2 linked regions of the Oryctolagus cuniculus genome follow. Each later gene encodes a partner of the first gene's protein in a complex. Links are inferred from orthologs where the notes say so. Each region holds a gene or a part of one and is shown in the gene's direction. Other genes may lie near its edges.

Evidence for each region. Proteins that work in one complex are often made in the same cells at the same time.
Region 2: the proteins of WDR48 (region 1) and USP12 are in contact, whole or in part, in a crystal structure (PDB 5K1C), measured with the Homo sapiens proteins. The link is inferred for Oryctolagus cuniculus from reciprocal best matches to the Homo sapiens genes WDR48 and USP12. Residues at the interface, in NP_065890.1 of Homo sapiens: Arg50, Trp77, Asp118, Tyr119, Lys121, Leu137, Ser170, Tyr172, Thr188, Asp211, Asn212, Lys214, Ser230, Gly254, Trp256, Arg272, Ile363, Ile364, Leu424, Lys425; in NP_872294.2 of Homo sapiens: Arg185, Leu187, Thr188, Cys189, Glu190, Thr191, Ser227, Lys230, Cys236, Arg237, Ser238, Lys239, Gln240, Glu241, His243.

Annotation. Positions count from the first base shown.
Region 1 is NC_091441.1:108,262,894-108,266,541, reverse strand, and holds part of WDR48 (WD repeat-containing protein 48), read left to right. Parts: intron 1-94; coding exon 95-197; intron 198-838; coding exon 839-936; intron 937-3,648. UniProt on the Homo sapiens protein: Regulator of deubiquitinating complexes, which acts as a strong activator of USP1, USP12 and USP46. Enhances the USP1-mediated deubiquitination of FANCD2; USP1 being almost inactive by itself.
Region 2 is NC_091440.1:87,430,349-87,433,996, forward strand, and holds part of USP12 (ubiquitin carboxyl-terminal hydrolase 12), read left to right. Parts: intron 1-2,943; coding exon 2,944-3,141; intron 3,142-3,648. UniProt on the Homo sapiens protein: Deubiquitinating enzyme that plays various roles in the regulation of the immune response and inflammation.

The DNA of each region.
Region 1 (3,648 bases):
GTCTTTTCTTTAACTTTATATTTCCTGCCCCTTTAAGCAAGCTGGCAAAACTTGAAGAGCAAAACCAACTAAATAACAAATTTTGTTCCTTTAGACGTTGAAAGGAATCCATAATTTCAGAGCATCAGGAGATTACGACAATGACTGCACAAACCCTATAACGCCCCTTTGCACGCAGCCTGACCAGGTTATTAAAGGTAAGGAAATTAGAAGTAGTGTACTTTGATTGGAGTTTATTGTTACTAACAGAACAACAGGAATGAAGATTTCTTTTAATATAATTTAGATGTAAACTAAAGGCTAATCATGTATTTATTTTAGTACAAGAAAAAAGTTATTTTAAAATATTTAGTGACTTTAGGTGCTTGGGCACTTTAAAATGGGCTTTCTTGAGTTAGGTTTTTTGTCTTGTTTTTTGCCCAGTGTCAGAATAGCCATGGTAAAGCCAACAGCGACTTTATAGAAGGTCTTCATGTTGTTTTTTGGCATAGCCAGGAAAGGACAGATGTGGTCTTTAAGTTCTACACGCTACAGCTGGTTGTGGCAAAAAAACAAAACAAAAAGCCAGGCTGTGTTTGATATCCTAGCTTGGGATTAGAATCTTGCATCCACCTTCCTCCCTAGTTGAGGTGTCTGTGTAGGCATCATTAGCATAGAATCCATTCAGGAGCCTGCAAAAAGAAGGAAGAGGAAAGCGAAAGTGACGCGCCTTGGGTTAGTTGTGCAGTCTTCGGGTTTTCCCTTCTGACGGGTGTGATCCTGTGCAGGCCAGGTAGCACACCATGACTTTAAATGCAGAAGGATCATTGTGCTAATTGTGTTTTTATTTTTCCTGTAGGGGGTGCCAGTATTATTCAGTGCCACATTCTTAATGATAAGAGACATATATTAACCAAAGATACAAATAATAATGTGGCATACTGGGATGTATTGAAGGTGAGTGCCTTTTTAATTAGGGCATGTTCTTTGTTTTTCATTTTGTACTATGATAATGAAGATAATAGATAAAGATTTAATTGTCATATCTTATTTTGGTAATACTTTATTATGTGAATGTTAGATAGAGCCACAGACTTTTTTTTTTATTTAAAGGTCTATTTAGTTAATTATTTGAAAGGTAGGGTGACAGGGAGAGAGAGAGAGAGAGAGAGAGAGAGATGCATTTTTCTGGTTCACTCTCCAAATGTCTATAGCAGCTGAGGCTAGGCCAGGGCAAAGCCAAGAGTCAGGAACTCCACCCAGATCTCCCAGGTGGGTGGTGGGAACCCAAGTACCTGGACCATCCTCTCTCGCCTCCCAGGCATGTTAACAGGGCGCTGGATGGAAAGCGGGTACGGGCCTTGATCCCAGGCACCCCAGTTCAGTCTGCAGCTAGCCCGGCATCACAGTGCCCACCCCACAGCTCATCATTTTAATCACCTAAATTGTTTAAATAAAATCTTTTCTCTGGTTATTCTATTACAAACTCTTATAGTCTGCCTTACCTTAACTACGTCAGAATGTCTCACGCTTTCAGCAGTGGTATTTATGAAGCCTGGGTAGTTCCTTGGCCGTGGGGAGTGGGACAGTTGTCCTGTGCACTGCAGCCACTGAGCAGCATCCCCAGCCCCTTCCCACTCGGTGCTGGTGACAGGTGCTTCCTTCCCTCCACGCTGTGACATCCAGGCATCGCCAGATGTTTGCAGGGAAGAAGGACAAAGAAGGGCACAAAATCATTGAGAACCACTAGAGTAGGAGTATTGGAGTCTTGGATTTCCAGCGACCACTGTAAGCACTATTTATAGCTCTCGTTGTTATGAGGATGGTTCTCTGGCACAGTTGGGATGTGTTAAGCTATTCAATCAACCATATTCAAAAAAGCACTGAAGAAACTCTAAGCAGATTGAAGTTAGTTTGCTTTTATAAATTTTTTTTTTGACAGGCAGAGTTAGAGAGAGAGACAGAGAGAAAGGTCTTCCTTTTCTGTTGGTTCACCCCCTAAATGGCCGCTATGGCCAGTGCGCTGCGCCAATCTGAAGCCAGGATCTGGGTGCTTCCTCCTGGTCTCCCATGTGGGTACAGGGCCCAAGTACTTGGGCCATCCTCCACTGCCTTTCCGGGCCACAGGTCTGCTTTTATAATTTTGATAAATGTCCCTTTTTAGTGTAGTTATTGGTTATCCATTTGTCCAAATATTTCCTGGACTGAGTGACTGTCATGAGGATCATGACTGATGGCAAAGTCTGTAGCATGGAGCCTTCTGGTAGGAGGGAGAAGAACAGAATGTGAGAGCAGATCACAGGATGGCGCATGGCCAAGGGTGGTTCCTTAACTTGGGGAGTCAGGAGAGCCGCATGGTGGAGACATCAGTGAGCCAGGGCATGCAGGCGTCCAGCGGGTGGGCATTTCAGGAAGGAGTGAATGATGAAGGCCCAGAAGAGCGAAGGGGTACGTTTAATTAGTCCACGGTGAGCGGTTTTGTGTTTGGAGATGAGAGTAATGTCAGGGAGCTGCGGGGGTATCAGGATGGAACATGCCTTTTAGGTCATTTCCCAAAGAGTGTGATGTTGCAGGACCCCGCCTTGGCCTTTCTTGGGTACTTCCTGAAGAATCTTCGATAATGTTAGAGCAGGAGAAGCCTGTGGTCAGTGCAGTCGTAGTGTTGTGTGATGAGAAAGTGGAAGCTGGGTGACCGTGGTCTTAAGCATAATAATGTGAGGATCTAGAGAAAGGAGCAGACGTTGGGCATATTACAAATGAAGAACTGAGAAGACCCTGTGTTGTCGTTACGCTCCTGGTTATAAGGAAGAGAAATTCACTTAAGTTGACTTCATGATCTACAGAGTAAATTAAGCAAGTCTCTTACTGGGGAAAAGAGAGCTGTCTCTGACTAGGAACCTTGGCCTGACCCCACCACTTTTCCTCCCTGGGCCACAGCTGTGTGGAAATCCATTAGGAGACAGGTGCTTAGTGAGTTTGGTTTCATGGCAGAACCCCCTAGTTGTTGTGTGGGAAGTTTAATTGTAGTAGGTTTAATTGTAGTAGTAGTGTTGGTGTCATGGGAAGTGTCAGGAGTCTCCAAGGGACGTATATAGGCTGAGAAGAGAAGAAAGCAGTTGTTACTCCTCATGGATGTGGGACAAAGAGGAAGCCACAGAGGTCTGAAAAAGGAGGCTGGCATTGTGGCACAGTGGTTAAGCCATGGCTTGGGACACTGGCATCCCATCGTAGACTACTGGTTCAAGTCCTGGCTGCTCTGCTTCTGATCCAGCTCCCTCTAATGCAGCTGGGAAAGTAGCGGAAGATGGTCCAAGTACTTGGGCCCTTCCCACACGTGTGGGAGTTCCAGCTGGAGTTCCTGGCCTCAGGCTTCGCCCTGGCTCAGCCCCTGCCATTGCAACCGGATGGGGAGTGAACCAGCGGGGAGAACTCAGTCTCTCTCTCTCTTTCCCTTCTCTCTGTCACTCTGCTTTTCAAATAAGTAAAATGTTCTTTTTTAAATTGATAGGGTGGTAACAGAACAAAGGCTGATGGTAGCTCCAGAACTAATTGAGTGTTTTAGAAAGGAGCTGGTAGTTAGTGACATCAGCCTGCTGCACTCGTTTAGGACATGGATGGACTGCACATGTGGATCTTACAGTGAAGAGAGCAGGCTTCTGGAAAGTTCTG
Region 2 (3,648 bases), on another chromosome or scaffold:
GTCCTAATTCTGAGGCCAACTCATTCCCTCGCCTTTCCCCTGCCTTAAAAAACTGCTACCTGTTACACGGTGACAACACGTATTATACTAGTACAGAAAATTCGCCTTCTCTACCTACACTTCCATTGGGAATTTTTAAAGGACACTTTGCTGTTCTGTAAAAATTTTACTTCAGCAGCCCTTCATGGGGTCAATTGAAGATCTAATGTTTAAAGTTGAATTAGTAAATATATACACACACACACACACACACACACATACACAAATATATATGACTGTTGTTATTTTTAAATGATTTCATTTATTTGAAAGGCAGAGTTACAGAGGGACAGACAGAAAGAGGTCTTTCATCTGCTGGTTCATTCCTCAAGTAGCCTTTATGGCCAGGAGTGGGCTGTGCTGAAGCCAGGATTCTGGAGCTCCATCCAGATCTCCTGTGTGGGTGGCAGGGGCCCATGCAGTTGGAACATCTTTTTCTGCACATTAGCAGGGAGCTAAATTGGAAGTGGAGCAGCCAGAACTTGAACACTCCTAAGGAATGCCTATCATAATTACATTATCTCTGTATTATGATTTATTTCAACATTTCCTGTTGTTGAATAGTTAGGATTTTTTACAATATAAAATAACTCTAGAAGTAGATTTTCTCAAAAGTTCTATCTTTGAGATGTTGTGTTTAATGTGGATTTATAGAAATGGTATTACTGAGACAAAGGCCATAAAGGTCCTTCATTCACATTGCTAAATGTGTTTCCAGGAATGATCACTTACTTTCCTTTTGGTCCTTGTTTTTCAAAGGCCAGGCTAGTTGTATTGTAAATATTTCAGGGGCAGTGAGCTGCCCACCACATCTCAGATCTGTAGAATACAGATTTAGTATCATGTTGTAGAATGATTTTTATTTTCAGTGTATTAGTGGCAGTGTCTTTTATTTATTTTTTATTTAATTTTTATTTTAGTGTATTAGTGTATTAGTGGCAGTGTCTTAGTAAATTTTATTTATTTTTAGTGTATTAGTGTATTAGTGACAGTGTCTTAGTAAATTTTATTTATTTATTTGAGAGGTAGAGACCAAGAGAAGGGTCTTCCATCCACTGATTCACTCCCGAAATGGCCACAGCAGCTGGAGCTGAGCTGATCCGAAGCCAGGAGCCAGGAGCCAGGAGCTTCTTCAGGGTCTCCCATGTGGGAACATGGGCCCAAGCAGCTGGCCATCTTCTACTGCTTTCCCAGGGCATAGCAGAGAGCTGGATCAGATAAGGAGCAGCTGAGACTTGAACCAGCACTCCTGTGGGATGCCAGCACCACAGGCAGCGGCTTTACCTGCTACACCACAGCACCGGCCCATAAATTTAATTATTTTAATTGTGAGAAGTACTTTGCTTCACTGAACCCATGTTAAAATCACTTCTGCAACATTTAGCAAATACCTATCACATGCCAGGCCTATTGCAGGACCGTGGAGAAGTAAAAATGAAGGAAATGTTTTCTGCCTGCCAAAGAGTTGAGAGTCTAGAAGAGAAAGACCCCGATCACCTAAATACTTGCTGTGTAATAAGCTCAGTGTCTGTAGGGAGCCTGTGACGCGCTGATGGAGGACTGAAGAGGGAGTAACTTTTGTACCGAGCCCTGAAAGGAAGACTAGACTGTTTCAGGTGATGTAGGTGCTGAGTCCCTCTCAGGGAGATGGAGCACTTCTGGGTGTAGTAAAGATTATTTGCAGCGTGAAAGGTAGCACAATTAAATACTGAACTCCTGAATTTCCAGCCAATTTTAATTCTCTTTCTAGGATAGATATAGCTGCTGTGCCTACCTGGTGAACATCCTTAGTTGACTGATATTTTATGCTTTTTGTTTTTTCAATCTTCTGTTGTCAGTCTATTTTTGCATTATGTAGATTGGTAGAATAAGTGGGCTTCCGTCTACACTCACATCCAAAGGGCTTGGCAGTTTCATGGAACCCATTTTCTCCTCCACTGTCCCTGGACGTCACGTCCATTTAGTCTTGGCATGAAGGATCTGTGTTGGAAAAATACAGATTTCTTAACAAAGGACTGATGCCATTCTTTCTTTCTCTGAAAATATTTATTGAGTGTGGGGTCATGTTATGTTATTTGGTCCTGATAGGTGATTTGGTCTTACAATACTCAGAATGTTGCCTTGCCACTGTAAAAATATTATTTGGATGTTTGGCCTAATTGGGATGCTTGCATCCCGTATCAGAGCGAATGGATTTAAGTCCTGGCTCCACTTCAATTCCAGCTTCTGAGAGGTTCCCCAGGAGACAGCAGATGATGGTTTAAGTAATTGGGACTCTGCTACCCAAAGGTCACCTCGATTGAGTTCCTGACTTGTGGTTTCTACCTTGCCACGCCCTGGCTGTTGCTGGCATTGGGAAGTGAACCAGTGGATGGAAGATTTTTATCTCTTTATTTCTGCCTTTCAAATAAAAAAGTAAATTAAAAAATTTTTAAAGACGCCACTTAGGTACCCACACCTCATATCAGAATACCTAAGTTCAAGTCCTAGCTTCACTCCCAATTCCAGCTTCCTGCTAATTTGCACCTTGGGAGGCAGCAGGTGATGGATCAAGCACTTGGGTCCTTACCACCGACATGGGAGACATGAATTGAGTTCTTGGCTTCTGGCTTTTGCCTGGCCCAGCCCTGACTGTTGTGGTCATTTGGGGAGAGAACCAGTGGATGGGTTCATTCATATTTCTCTTACACACATACACACTCTATTTCTCTCACCACTCTCCCCTTCCTTCCCATTCTCTCCCTCTCAAAAAAAAATAATAACTGGTAGAAATATATAAAAACAGACAGTGTTGGGTTATTAAAAGTGATGATTAACTACTAATTAGATGTCATAAATTTTGATGATTCTTTTTAAGACACAGTGTGGATGTCTTTTATGACTTTTTTATTTTTATTTTTATAGGATGAAAGTTAAAAAACTGCCCATGATTCTAGCTCTACACCTGAAGAGATTTAAGTATATGGATCAACTTCATCGATATACAAAACTTTCTTATCGGGTAGTTTTTCCTTTAGAGCTTCGTCTGTTTAACACGTCAGGCGATGCAACCAATCCTGACAGGATGTACGACCTTGTTGCTGTTGTGGTTCACTGTGGAAGGTAATTGCAACTCTTAGGATGTGGTGGAATTTCTAGCTTAGTAGGGCCAGTGCACATGCAGGATGTTCGCTAGTGATTTGCATGTCAAGCTTTTGGAAAAGTGAGTTCATTTCCAAAAGGACTTTTCAGATACACCTTTACATCATTGCTTCCTTAAAGTGTTATATATTAAAACATTACTACCTTGATTTGTATTCTTACTGTTTAACTCTCTCTGAATATTGCATCTGAGTTCCTAGGACTTTCACATCTGTGGGTTTTTTCTTTTCCTTTCCTTTGTGTATGGGGATGAAGGGTGGTTGGTAAAAAATGGTGCCTAGATAGATTTTGCGAAGTCAGTCATTTCTGAGATTAATTGAATATATTTGCTGTGTTGATTATTATGAAAGCATTTGGAATAGCTCTTCAGAGATCAGCTTTCTAACTTTACTGGTGTGTCTGTTGGTCATTTCCTGTTGGCCAGTTGTAGTGTTCTGTCTCCTTACCCTCCTTCCCAATACAGTGTGC